4 linked regions of the Coturnix japonica genome follow. The protein of the gene in region 1 interacts with the protein of each later gene in a pairwise test. Links are inferred from orthologs where the notes say so. Each region holds a gene or a part of one and is shown in the gene's direction. Other genes may lie near its edges.

Region 1 (3,500 bases):
CTTCCTTCATCCAGATAAGAATGGGCTGCATGTGCAGTCCAGGAGTTAAACTTGACATAGGTTATGCTGTGTGAATGAACAACTGTTCAATGGGTTTTTCCTAGCTCAGCAGTCTTCAATGTTGGCTTAGAACACTTTTTGCTAGGATTCTTATTCTCCAAGCAGCTATTGCCCTGCTAGCATCTATCTGATGATTAAGACTTAACTGATAGCTTTTTCTCCTCCATGTCTACTTGTATGGTTAACTCACTTGAGACTTAAGTGAAGTTCAGGTCTGGAAAGCTGGTTGCTGCAGTGGGACTGGGCAGAGCTGTTCTCTTCAGTCAGCTTCCTTTAGAAATGGAGAATTTGTTTCTTGATCAGTGCAAATACCTTGATCAGGCCAATTAATGGAGTGTACGGAAGGAGGGCAGCTCCCCACAGTGCTGGGAGGGTGGTGGGTGCAGTCTGCAACTGCCTTAATTGCAGTCCTACAGAGACAGCCTAATTATAAAAGACTTACTCTCAGTAGTAAAAAAACCCTTCAGTTGTCACTGAAGTCACCGTCTTGGCAAGGACGATAAGTATCATAGCTGTGAATGCTGGAGTTCCATAAGGGTAAGAGCAGAGCTGTAAGTAGTTACAGAGGGCCAATGTGTGCCTTGTGTACTTGGCAGCCCTCTGCTTGTGCCAGTAGTGCTGTGGCAGCAGTGGCACCAAGCCCTCCTGGTATAGCTTGTGCCTTCCAGAATGATGCCTCTGGCAGCTGGGCAGCCTGTTTGGCTGTGTGACTGTGCTGCTGCTGCCTTGATTGTGTTACGTTCCCTTTGCTACCAAAGGATCATCTCTGCTGTCACTCCAACAGGAAGCAAGAGCGTGGTATTTCTTGATGTATCCTTGCATTGTTATAAAGTGAGATTATAGGCCAGCCCTGGCCATGCAGGAAATAGCAATTAGTAAAGATGTCTCTTTCCCCCGTTATGTTGAAACAAATGAAGCCCACTTAGTATGGGTTATTTTAATCTAACTGGAGCGTAAGTGTGGCTGAACCTTGTCTAACTCCTGTTTCTGGCAGCCTAACTTCTTCATTACCCTGTCTGCTGACAGAGATCTACTACAATAGGTCACTTCACTTTGACAGTTTTCACAAGTTTGAGTCTACTAGACTAAATATTCATGATCTGTATAAATAAATTAGCAATATTTAAACTTGTTCACTCTTTTTCTTCCTGTCTCTGACTGAGTTTTCTGTAGCTTGATGTCAGCTGGCTTATTGGCCAAAGCCGTGCCACAGGTGCCATTGGGACACAGTGGTGCCGTATTCCTGTTGTGAATAGGAATACAGGAGACATGCAGTTAACACAGAGGTTGCTATCTGCAAGGAAGCACTGTAAGGTGGCCATAATTCTGTGGGCTTGACCTGCATTACATCACGCGTTTCTGTGGTGTCATTGGAAAGATGAGCTGAAAACAGCGAAACTGAAATGTCATTCATCTAATTGGAAGTGGGGGGTGAGGGGGAAGACATCCAAAAATTCTTAGAGAAAAATAAAACATTAAATTGTTACATAGCCTTAGCAAAGTTTATGTAACAGTTTCTAATTTCATTTTGAGTACTCAACAGCACTTCTGCACTTATTCTGGTTTTTAAATAACTGGCTTTTCTTTCAAAGTCTGACTTCAAGAACTCACTATCAAGAAGTTTGACAGGCTTGTGCCTTAATTTGACTAAATGTGTTGGAGCTAGTGATTTTTTTTTTTTTTTTTTCTTCTTTTCATCATAATAGAACTCCTGCTAAATTACATGACTGCTTCAGCTGGTAACTTGCATTGCTGATTTAATAAGCAGTTAGAACAATCTAGAAAAGAAAAATACCTGGTCTTAACTGGCAGCTCATATGGGGGGATTTGGTGGGGTGACTCCAGAGAGCTGCCGTTGCTTTGGAAGGGATGGGCAGCATGTAGTCACACAGCTGAGCAGCTGTTGATTCAACTGTCTAGAAAGGCAGGAATCCAGATTCACTGTGCAGTTTCTCTTTGGTGATCCAAATGTAGAGTTCCACTTAACACTAATTAAAAAAACCCACAACCTCATTAGCCTGGCCTAGTTCCCATTGCCTGTGTATGTAAGGTATTTGGGTCTCTGATTTGGCAGCTGATATTTTGAGTCCTTTTATCATCTGTGGATGCTGACTTCATTCCATTGTGTACGCTCTGCCCAGACTCTTTGGATGACATTATTTTTGTCAGGGCCTACACAAACCGTTCCTCTGGCCCTTCAGCATTCATCTGCTAAATGAACAGACTTCTTTCCTGTTCTCCCTATAGAGTCACAGCATGGATCGTTCCTTTTAGTACCCAGAATTATGATCCAGAACACATTTTTTCCTTAGCCGAATACGCTATGTAGGATGTGACAGCTTTACTTCTGCCTATTTTTGTCTTGACTTTGAAATAGATGGTAGCATAATCAAACTGTTGGTTCAAAAGCTATGAAAGTATGCATGTTCAAAACGCTGTTCTTTGCTTCTCTTTTAGTCTCTGTTGGAAAAGTTCTTGATCCCTAATGCTTCGCAAGCAGAAAGCAAAGTTTTCTATTTGAAAATGAAAGGTGATTATTACCGTTACTTGGCTGAGGTTGCTGCTGGAGATGACAAGAAAGGTATGTCAATTGTCGCTAAATCTTTGGTCAGTTTAGTGGACAGCAACGCTACAGTAACTTTTGGAATACTTCTTTTTCAGATTCTGCAGTCACAGAATCTTGAAATCAGATCCAGTGTATGCATACAAGAATGTGCCTTATCGCTGACATACCAGTTAATGCTTTTTTTCCTGGCTCTCTGAGTACTGTTTTTACCTCTTCGTAGGGAGTCACTGTAGCTTTCTGAAGTGCTTTAGTGCTAGTTCTCCTGCGTTTCTGCAGCACATAAGAACGTCTGTATAAGTTTAGTGAGCAGGGAGACTAGAATACACCTGGGGAAGGAAAGGATTAATGAAACAGATGTTCAGTAATTTTTTTCCATAACCACGGTAGTTTGATTTCTAAATGGTTTTTATTTCCTAAATTTCTCATGTAGCTTGTCCTCATAGCAGGTAAGTTGCCTTTACTCGTGTTTGGTAAGTAAAGTTAAAATAATGTACTTAACTGCAGCCATTAAGCCACCTAGTGTATTGAAGAGGCACCTAAATAACACCTTGTCTTTGTGCAGTCATCTTCAGTTCAGGAGAATCTATTACATTTAGATAGCACTGTTCACAGCAAACTCCAAGCTGTTTCCTGGAGCCAGTCTCCACAGTCTGCTGGATAGTAATGAAGACGAGTAAGATAAGACTTAATAAACAGTGTTTGATTTGACTTCTAGTGTTTGCTGCATGCAAGCTGACCTAGTCTTGGTGACTGCAGAACCACATGTGTAATAAATAAATGTGTTACTGTGTACCATAGCAGATGTATTTTTGTTCAGTAATCTCTCATTTACAAACTAGAAGGTACACTCTCATAAGGATAGTTACTGACTGTA
Region 2 (3,500 bases), on another chromosome or scaffold:
AGTTTATCACGAAGTACTGTGTCTAGAGTATGAAAGGTTTGTTTTTAGCATGGGCTGGTGAAGAAGGAGATCTGACACTCTAGTTTCAACTACTGAGCACAGGTCTTCAGACAAATTTAGAATTTAGGGGATTTTCTTTTTATTTCTGAAAGGTTATCCGATTATTCCTCCCGCAAACAGCTTTCAGAGACAGAAAAACCTCACCTTGAAAATCCTTTCAAGAATACTTCCGTTTAGTACCGTGCGAGTCCATTTCTTTAGATGTGAAAGTCTCTATTTGACATCACTGAACACCTGCTTCTAAAATTATTTCCATTTACAGCAACAGTTTAACATCCTAGATCTTCTAGCTGAGTAATATGGATGTGTATTAAATGTACATTTCCTCCCCATGTGGCTTATATTTGCCTCCTCCCCTTCCATCTGCCCTTTTCAACCATATATATATATTGTGTGTGTGTATGTATGTATATATGTGTGTGTATATATGTGTGTGTGTATGTATATATATATTATTATTATATATTATATATATTATATATACATGTATATTATTTTTTTAATGTCTGTTAGGTTGGATGAAGGCAATCTGCCCAAAGAAATAAATCTTGTGGAAGATTACTTTCAACTGGTGCAGCACGAGTACAAGAAATGGCAGGAGCACGCTGAACCTGCCAGAAAAGAGGCCTGCTCCAGGAACAGACAGGAACTGTCTTTTTCCCAGCTCTCCCTCTTACAGGTGAAATGTGAAACTCCAAACTGCCCTTTCTATATGTCTGTGAACACCCAGCCCTACTGCCATGAGTGCTTTGAGCGGAGGTCGCAGGGAATCAAAGGAAGAAAGCAGGTCTCCGAAGCAGCACCTGAGAAACTGAAGGCAGCTGGGTCCAGTGGTAAAGCTTGTGAACCTGGGGGATGGATGTCTGAGGAGGCTGTAACAGGGCCTCACTCTGCACCCCCAACTGCTCCCAGCCTTTTCCTCTATAGTGAAACCACTGCCATGAAATGCCGGACTCCAGACTGCCCCTTCACCTTAAATGTGCAACACAACGGACTTTGTGAACGCTGCTACAATGCCAGACAGCTTGCTGCTAGTAACAATTTGGACAACCAGAGGCGTTTGGACTATGCCACGTGTAAGGTGTGCCACCAGAAGGCCAACAGGACATTTAATGGCATATGCAGCACTTGTTTCAAAAGGACTACAGAGCGCTCTTCAAATGGCAGCCCTGGTTTTGTACCCGCGTGCCATCAGAGATCTACATCTGACCCATCCCAGATCCCACAGAGCCTCCTTCAGCATTCCTGCCAGCAAACTCCCAACAGCAACTGCAACGAGCCACTCTTGGCCGCGCTGCCTCATGCCCCACGTGCTTTGGAGGAGAAGGGAAGTAAGCTCTGCAGGAAACCTGGCTGCAAGTTTTTTGGAACAGCACAGAATGAGGGCTTTTGCACGCTGTGCTTCTTTGAATACAGGGAAAACCACGGTAAGTGAAGATGTGAGCTTTGTTAGATGTGCAGATGGTGAAACTGAAGTTTTGCGTGTGCTGTGCTCTGAAAGATCAAGAGGTGACAAACACTGTGTAGCAGAAGCAGCAGTATGAGGAAAATGTGCTTTATTGGCTGTTGCTATCCCAAATGAGAGGCATGCAATAACAGTGTGGGATATATGAAATCTTGTAAAACTTCCCATTGCCTTCCATGAAAGAAAAACTTCAATCAAGCATCATTTTTGATGCCTTCCAACCCTACACTGTAGTAATGTTTTGGTATAAATCTTCTCAGGTTAAACTTCATCATAGCTAGACCAGTTCTAGGAACTGGTGAGGGAAGTGATGTTGTATTGATGTTAGTGAAAACCAGTTGTGTTTGGAAGGCTTTCTAAAAACTTGGCATGAATTTGAAGATCTGTATCCGTTCTGGGTTTAACAGATATAACACTGGAGTAATGACTGAAATCTCAATAAACAGAGCAAGGAGAATTTGTCTGTGGTTAATATGCAAATATAATGTGTAGACAATACAAAATAAGTATTTGATAGTAACATAGGAATATATGGTTATAATGTACCTTGAAATGTTTCTTGATACTCTATGCATAAGCTTAAAATTAAGTCCTAAAATAGTCTGTAAATTAATCATGTTGGGAAATCATCAGCTTCCATGCTGCTGCTGTTTCACAGGCAACTGCCTTTGGATACAGAGGGTGGGATGCACATGTGAGAGGAAAATAATACTTATCTCAAGACAGTTCCGTTGCTGACAAGCAGATCAGTGCTACATTTTCCATGTACTTTTACATCAAGGGCCTATTATGCTAGCTTACAAAAGCTTATTTTTGAGTGTTGTTCACATAGAAAACTGTTATGATTGTGGAATATATGATTGCCTCATTAAATTAAGAGGTTTAGGGTGCATTAACCTATTAAGCTCTGTACTACTATATTTCCACTACCCCATGTGATTGAAATGAAGGAGGACAGAAGGGAAGAGTTGGGATGTATTGCAGGTGCCATTCTAAAACCGATGGTGATTTTCCTCGTCTTTATTGAGATCCAGTTTCCATGCTGTGAGCAGGTTCTTCTCGAATCAGCTGTTTGATGTAAAGCTTAGTCTCTATTAGCCCTTTGTTTATGTAAGCTGAAGGAATGTGCTCTGACTGAGTGGTATCGGAGTTGTCAAAATGCAGTGTTTGAGACTAGCAGATTTTTGGTTTTTTTTTTTTCTTTGCCAATTGAGGAACTTTTGTAATCACTTTGGGCCATAACATCTTTTGGGCTCATTCACACATTTCCTCATCCTTTCTTTGCATTACAGACAGTGCTTCACTACGCCACCAGAGGAGATCTCAGAGGAATTCCTCAGCAGCTGGTCAACAGGGGAGCTCAGCTGCTGCATTCCACAATACCATGTCTTGCCAGCAGCAGAACTGTGGCACCCTGGGTAGTACCATGCTGGAAGGCTACTGCCAGAACTGTTTCATTAAAGCCCAGAGCCAGCGATTTCAGGAAGCCAGGAGGACTGAAGAACAGCTAGTGAGACAGCCTGAAGTAAGTATGAACTCTGAAAACCTTCCTCTTGTTTAGCATGTTTTTCCCTTGTGAGAGTGACTCAGAGAGTGTAATAGGATGCAGCAACATGAGAATTTCTAAGTGTCATGGGAAGACTAGTGTAAGGTATCTCATGATTTCCACTTGCTACAACTGAGCAGTACTTCTAATGCACATCCTCAATTTAGTATTTTCGTGGCTGTTGGTTCTATTTTACCTACCTAGAATTTGCCCTGCAGTTTCAGTGAACCCATGGCTGACTTTGTTTGCTGGCTGTACAGGGGTTTTCATTCATCCCTTTAGAGCTATGTAACTTCATCAAGAGATTTACTCTGCTTTGTCTTGCTTTTTTCGTTGAGCACATCACAGATTTTCTGTTCCAGGCTATTTCACTTGGTCTGTTTTGGTTTTAGAATTGAGAATTACCAAAGATACAAAACCTATTTTTCT
Region 3 (3,500 bases), on another chromosome or scaffold:
TTTTGGCAGTAATATTTATTATCAAATAAAAAAAAAGAGTGTGAATGGTTTGGCTACTTTTTCTTTTCCCTGCAAACCATCTCCTTTTGGGTGCTGTACTTCAGAATGCTTCTCTGAAACTATGGTTTCTTTATTCTCTTTCATTTTTGCCTGCATACTAATTACATTTTGGATTATTTCACCAAATAATCATAATGCCAAATGAATATGAGCTTAGGCTGTTAACCTGAGTCCTGAGAAAGTGGTAGCTGAGTCTCCAGTATGTTCACTCATTTGCTGTCTTGAATCTTCCCTAGGTTCAGGAGTCTTTGCAAGGCATGGGAAGCAGTGCTGACAGCTGTGACAGTGAGACAACTGTGACATCACATAGTGAAGAACAGAAGACACCAATAGCTAAGGAACGGCCGTGTTTCAATAAGTTTGAGGAGGAAGAAGAGGAGGAAGAAGAGGAGGAGGGTGAGGAAGAGGATGATGAAGAGGATGATATCTCTCAAGTGGAGAAAGGAAAGGTGGAGGTGTATTCTGAAAACCTAAGGATAGATGATAAAAGAAATTGTGACTATGAAGCTGAACAAAATAATGGAGGAGAAAGTAAGTCATCTCACGTACCTAAGATAGCTGGAGGAGAAGGCAGCTCTAAAGATGAAGGCATTTCCAGTGAGCAGAAAGAACTGGGGCTTCTGGAGGAAGGCGTTGATGAAAGCGATCTTGACAACGACACTGCATTTGAGTTTCCTCAGTACCAAACACACCATATCCTTAAGTCTCTGGAGTCTCTGGAAGGTGACGGCTCTACCCCATCGTCCTTAGACAGGGTTCATGTTGCTTTGCAGAGAGCCCAGATGAGGGTCATCAGCACATCTGACTCAAGGGCTGGGCGCTCTTTCTTTAAGTCAAAAGATCTCCTGAGGAAACAAAGACAGTGGTTGGCTGAATCAGGTTATCCTCTAAGGCGATCTCAGTCGCTCCCAACTGCATTACTAAATCCAGTGAAAGTGGTGTCCTCTGTGAATGTCCAGTTAAATCCAGGGAAGGAGACTCTGTGTGGTCCTCCTTCTTTCACCTACAAGTACACACACGTGGAGGAAGATGAAAAACTGACTTCTGAGGATGACAAACAGGAAGATAAGGCAGCTACCAGTCAGCCTGTATGCAAATCAACACTATTCATTGCAACTTCATCCTCTAAAAGAGAAGTGCCCCAGACTGGGCTCAGGAGACTGTCCGAGGTGCCTAGTCCCACCAGGGGACAGAGCTGCCCACTACACACCCCAGCACATATGTCCCAGTCAACATGCTCCCTGCACTCCCTCCCAAATGAGTGGTTGGACAGGCCACTCTGTGAGCACATGAGGACGCTCAGCACCCACAGTGTCCCAAGCATCTCTGGTTCTTCCCTCAGCGCTTTGCTCTCGCCCTTCAGCTGTCCCTTTTCTCCAAGGCACTCTGGATATCCTCATCGACCTCATGCCATCAACCCACCTTCCACTGTAGAAATGCAGCTTCGCAGAGTCCTGCATGACATCAGAAGCTCTCTGCAGAACCTCTCACAGGTAGGAGAAATCAAATGTGCTTCTTATTTTATTTTTTTAAAAATAAAATGTTAACCTGAATATTCTTTCATGTAGTGTAAAAAATCAGGGGGAAAAAACAACACATTGTTCCTGTTTGTTTGCTACTACTTTCAGGAGCTTCTGTTTAAATTGGCAGGTGGTCATCTCTCCAGTGCACCACTATTTTTGTGTTGAAGTTGTTCATGTTGCTCTTGATCCAGATCATTAGTAAACTGATTTTTTTTATTTTTATTAAACTTATGGTTATTCTTAGGTGTGAGGGAGGAGCAACGTATGCCTCATAAGCAGTTATTTTAAAGTGATATTTATTAGCTTTAGATATGAAAATATATCTTGCCTTTAATCTTCACTAATGATTTTAGTGATGATCATTCATTCAACTTAACATTTCTGTGCTGTTTTATGCTAGTGTTGTGCATGTTCAGCTCTGGAGCTACTAAAATAATCTTGAAGTTATCAGCCTTTTATTAAGAATCAATTGTGTCACAGTGTGTGAAATTTTGGTGAATGTGTGAATCTTCTCAATAGTCAGAGAAGAAATGTTTTAGAATGCAAGCATATAGATGTACATGATCTGCTCCAAAAGTAACGCCTCCTATTTTCTTCACGGAAACTGCAACAGATAAAAAGAACACAATAATACTATCAGGTAGAAAAAAAATCAGCTGGAAAACACTTTCATGATATATTCACCACTGTTAGCTATGCATTTTCAGCAGTGGTGAACAAGAACTTGCATGCTGTGCTCATAAAAATCTGCATGGCTGTCCAGAATGCAGCTTGTCTTTCACATTACTGTCGCCACTGATGAAAAGCACCACCCACAGCCTCACTGTGCCAGTATTCATTGTTTGGTCTCTATAAATGTTCAGCAGGTGTTGATGAATGTCCTTGGGTGAAATTTTTTCCACCTGGATGAATTCAGAGGCACATCTTTGCTTCATACACACTTCCATGTCAGACAATGTTTTGTCAGACTGCTCCTCTACTGCCATCTGTTTCATGGCTACAAAATGTAGTGTAATACTGGTGGGAAGGTTCAAGCTCTACTGCTTTATTACCAACAGCTATGATATCAGCTGCCTCTGATATCATGGGCCAGCATAATAAAATAGGAAGCATTACTTTCAGAACAGCCCTTGTATATGTATTTTTGCTGGCTTCTCTGATGTCTTCTGCTGTTTTCATTAGCAACTGTCTCTACTCCACCATTACTGTACTGCTATTGTCTGAGGTAGTGATCCAACTTAGGAGCCTGCGGAGTGGTTCTATGGGCAGGGCATTTGCAGACCCTGCCTGTTAATATGTGAATGCATGAAAATTATGCAGTTGTGGAACCTCATTGTCTTCTGTGAGGTGTTTAATCGAAAACAAACATCTGATTTTCTGCACCCTGTTGCTGGTGGTGAGCTTTAGTGAGCTTTTTTAGGCACCCTGTTCTTCTGTTTTTGTTGTCCATTGTCCAAAACCTGAGGCTAGTTGTGCCTGACTTGGGTTTTCTGAGCTGGCCCTGCTCAAGGTAGCCAAAAGCATGTGTGGGTGTGAGCAGTTGCAGAATTTAACTTTCTTTGTAAAATTCACTTGTGTGTATAAACTGCAGTCTTGCTGTGTGTAAGGATACTCTTGCAGAATGCTAGCTGAATCTACTGAAAAAGAGAACTTTGTATTACATTCAGATCTCTCGTTTGTGCTGACTCAATAAAAATAAAGTTGCACTAGTATTAGAGGGGATAATAAGCTCCCTGTCCACTTGTCCTGCTTCCAGAGTGATTTGTCTAGACCAGTCCCATTTTGGGGGATGTGTTCCTTCTTGTTCCTGAGATTTCTGTGAAAAACTGTTGTTTTCAACACGTAGTTTCCTTGTAGTGTTTTTCTCTACAGCCAAAATTGAATTTGTAACTCAGTGTACTCAGCTTCCTATAGGAA
Region 4 (3,500 bases), on another chromosome or scaffold:
GTTGAAGCTTGGCTGTTAGTAGACAGAAGAGGAGGGAGGTAATGGTGTAGTTCTACAGCTGCTTCCGCTTGTGACCGTTTTGACTGGTGGGGCTGTTTGCATCCTTTCAGCTATTACAGCAAAATATTTTCAGATGTATGCCTAAGTATAACAAGTAGCAGCTCCTTCCAGCTTCTGGAAATAATTATTCCAGTCAGGATAATGATTTTCACTGTTGTATATAAACGTTTCTTATTGTTCTACTTTCAAAGAAATAGTTTATGTGACTTATAAGAAAGTCAACTGTAAACTGGATCCCCCCAGCTGATTGTAGGTCATCTGATTGGCCTGTTCTTCCCAGTCCCATCCCAAATTTCCATTGCAGCTCCCTTGGTCTTGTCTGCTCCACTGGTAGTAAGATGGCAGCGAGAAAACTAATATACGTAAGGCCCTGTGCCATCTTGCTAACTGTTCTGTCAGCAAGATCATTCTGAACAGGATTTGTTTACAGAATGGCTTCTGTACAGGATTTGATTTATATCAGGGCCCTCTTGCCATGACATGTACGACTGAACTGGTAGTAATGCAACAGCGGGAAGCAACTGAAGAATTGCTAAAAGAGTTCCAACTGTAGCTCCTATTTATAACAGCACTGACCTAAAAATGCACTTTGGTGGCTGATTAAACAAGGGGACATTAGTAGTTAGAATGCTCCTAATCCTTACTGAAGTGTGAAATGTACACCATTATTAGCTCTGTAATGGTTAAGGACTGTGATATGCTTCGAATGGTTTTTAGCTGTGGGTGGGTGTGAAAAGTTTAAAACAGTGTGGAACATCGATAGGCTGTTTCTTAAAGCTGCTTAGGTATGTTCTTACTGAGTTAAATTGAACCTCAGTGCTGTGGTTTTCATTGGGAAAGGTCAGTGTAAAATGAAAAACTGGTGTCTCACACAGACTTCAGCTTTTAATTAGAACGGAGCATTTCTTGTGACAGCCACGTTATCAAAACCCCTGCACTGGGGTGTGCAACTATTTTAGTTTCTCCGATGCTCTACCCTCATTTTTGTTGCATTTTTTCTGTTACAGTGGAACATATCACTCCAGAGATGAAAGCACAGATAGCGGACTTAGCATGAGCAGTTACAGTGTACCCAGAACCCCCGATGACTTCCTGAACAGTGTTGATGAGATGGATACAGGTTTGTTCTCCTTAATACACCCTTTTCAGTCGTGCTGGTATCAAATGCTCAGCCCCTTTGCAGTGAAAACAAGTGATTCTGAAAAGCTCCAATGTTTTTTGGGGGGGGGGGGGGGGTTATGTTTGTACTACCTCCTTCTATTTCTATTGCAGAACTATTATAGTTAAATTTGTGAAAAACATCCTTGTAATAAATTCTACTGGAAGGCTCATAAAGGGAATAATTCCTGCAGCTATATGGAATTTGAATACCCATTTGCTTTCTTAAGAAAGCAAAAGTTCTAAGCTAAGAACTTACTCAGTATTACTATACTATTATTATATAAGTATGCTTAATCAGTATTGCTAATGTTGCTCCCAAATTATATTTGACTTGTTATTGTCTTTTATGCATAAAAACTAAAACATGCTAAAAGATCAAAGATCTGTAAAGATTCAGGTTAAGACATGAAAAGTTTGAAACAAAGGCAAGTTCTTCGTACATCTGCATGTAGCCAAGTCATCTTTAGTTTTTGTGATGAATTTCTATGAATCACAGTTTTTGAGTGATGCAAAGGATCCAGGATTAACCTTTAACCAGTTGTGATTAATTGTGGGTTTGGTACTTCCAGTAAATTGAACATCCATCTTGCTTTTTGTTATAACTAGGTGACAGTATCAGCCAAAGTAACATACCGTCCCATCAGAACCGATTCCCAGACTACCTTGAAGCCATTCCAGGGACAAATGTGGACCTTGGGACACTGGAAGGAGATGGGATGAATATAGAAGGAGAAGAACTGATGCCAAGTCTGCAAGAGGCTTTGAGCTCTGACATCTTAAATGACATGGAATCTGTCTTGGCAGCCACCAAGCTAGATAAAGAGAGTTTTCTTACTTGGTTATAGGGGCCTCAGGGAGACTGAATTCTAAATCTGTGAAGGATCTAAGGAGAATAGGACATCTGTATCTGAAGTTCAGAGCAAGCCAGTGTGGCACACTTTGGCTTGTGTTCAGAAAAAGTAAATGAACAAATATTCAGCAAGATTCTTTCGTTTTGCTCTTCCTTGTCCATCGCTGCTGTTATATATTGCTGACTTTTTTCCACAGTTGACTCTGAAGAACAGACATCTTCTTGACCTTTTTCTATTGCTGTTGCAACTACTGTTGGGGGGTGGGGGAGGGAACGATGAGCCTATTTGAATGACGAATGCCATTCCTTTTGTCCTAGTGTGCGCTTGCATATCATTTTTATCTAAGTACTCAGATTTGAGAGTAAATTTCTGCATGTCACTGCTTGTAGTTTGCTCAGCTAGTTGTCTCCTGCTGCCTGTGGAAAGTGGTAAAACGTGACATACTGGAGTGACAAGCCGAAAATGATGTATCTGGTCAAATGAAGTCAATACTGATTTGGAGATACGACCTAAAGGAGGGCTGAAAACTGGCATTAGGTGTTTCCACTAGTAGCTCCTTCATTAGCCATGAAGTGCTCTTGTTCATATTTTATGTTATAGTAAATCATGAGTCCTTTTACATAGAAACATATATGAACTTTGATTGTTGCCACTTATTCTAGCCTAACTCTTGTTTGTCAAAAATAGTTTGATTATTTTTGTTAGTTGATTTAACTGTAGCTATAGGATGGGAAGTAATTCTAGGTGTTCTTTTTTTAAATAGTGAAATCTAAGGGTTTTTTTTTTTTTCTGATTTCACATAGTCTTATTTAAATCTGAATTGTCTGCTTTTTTTTTTATACCTAAACCATGCCTATTGTAGCGCAATAAGCTAGTGAGTACATAAAACAGTATGTTTTGCCCGTAACTTTTCTATTTTTTTTAAAGGCTAGCTTTGAATGTAATCCTTAGGATCCATGACCAGTGGCTTATTTTTCATGTTTCTTTGCAAGATATTGAATTAGAAGCTAAGTGCGCTATTTACGATTTTAAAACGCATTTTGAAGTAGCAGAAACAATTTTACAGTGACCGAGATGCGTCCAAGCTCACCTCTGGTTTTCAGTTTTGTATCTGAATGAGTTTAGATTCTTTAAGGGGAAAAAACCTTCTGAAGATTTTCTCCTGAGTTAGTGTGGGAAAATGGTCTGAACTATGAACATCACTGTAAGCTGCAATGAAAAGGCTAGAAGACCAAAAAAAATAACACAAGAATCCTCAGTAAAAACTCCGAAGTGTAATAGTTGTCAAATTCCGTTTGGTGAAAAATAAGCCCTGGGCACGACGTAGAAGTCTGTAAAGATACGTGTTAGATGGTGACGTGAGCAAGTAATGAAGTGTATATTAGCAGTAGAGCTTAGCATTGGGTAGAGGTGAATATGAGTTACCTT

Evidence for each region.
Region 2: the proteins of YWHAZ (region 1) and TNFAIP3 interact in a two-hybrid assay, tested with the Homo sapiens proteins (4 studies listed by BioGRID and IntAct). The link is inferred for Coturnix japonica from reciprocal best matches to the Homo sapiens genes YWHAZ and TNFAIP3.
Region 3: the proteins of YWHAZ (region 1) and ITPRID2 interact in a two-hybrid assay, tested with the Homo sapiens proteins (2 studies listed by BioGRID and IntAct). The link is inferred for Coturnix japonica from reciprocal best matches to the Homo sapiens genes YWHAZ and ITPRID2.
Region 4: the proteins of YWHAZ (region 1) and YAP1 interact in binary tests that used the Homo sapiens proteins (3 or more experiments, as listed by UniProt). The link is inferred for Coturnix japonica from reciprocal best matches to the Homo sapiens genes YWHAZ and YAP1.

Annotation. Positions count from the first base shown.
Region 1 is NC_029517.1:116,478,782-116,482,281, reverse strand, and holds part of YWHAZ (14-3-3 protein zeta/delta), read left to right. Parts: intron 1-2,517; coding exon 2,518-2,641; intron 2,642-3,500.
Region 2 is NC_029518.1:49,364,165-49,367,664, reverse strand, and holds part of TNFAIP3 (tumor necrosis factor alpha-induced protein 3), read left to right. Parts: intron 1-573; coding exon 574-1,487; intron 1,488-2,817; coding exon 2,818-3,050; intron 3,051-3,500. UniProt on the Homo sapiens protein: Ubiquitin-editing enzyme that contains both ubiquitin ligase and deubiquitinase activities.
Region 3 is NC_029522.1:12,466,704-12,470,203, reverse strand, and holds part of ITPRID2 (protein ITPRID2), read left to right. Parts: intron 1-226; exon of another isoform or gene 227-296; coding exon 297-1,553; intron 1,554-3,500.
Region 4 is NC_029516.1:163,400,871-163,404,370, reverse strand, and holds part of YAP1 (transcriptional coactivator YAP1), read left to right. Parts: intron 1-1,067; coding exon 1,068-1,180; intron 1,181-1,827; coding exon 1,828-2,066; 3' UTR 2,067-3,500. UniProt on the Homo sapiens protein: Transcriptional regulator with dual roles as a coactivator and corepressor. Critical downstream regulatory target in the Hippo signaling pathway, crucial for organ size control and tumor suppression by restricting proliferation and promoting apoptosis.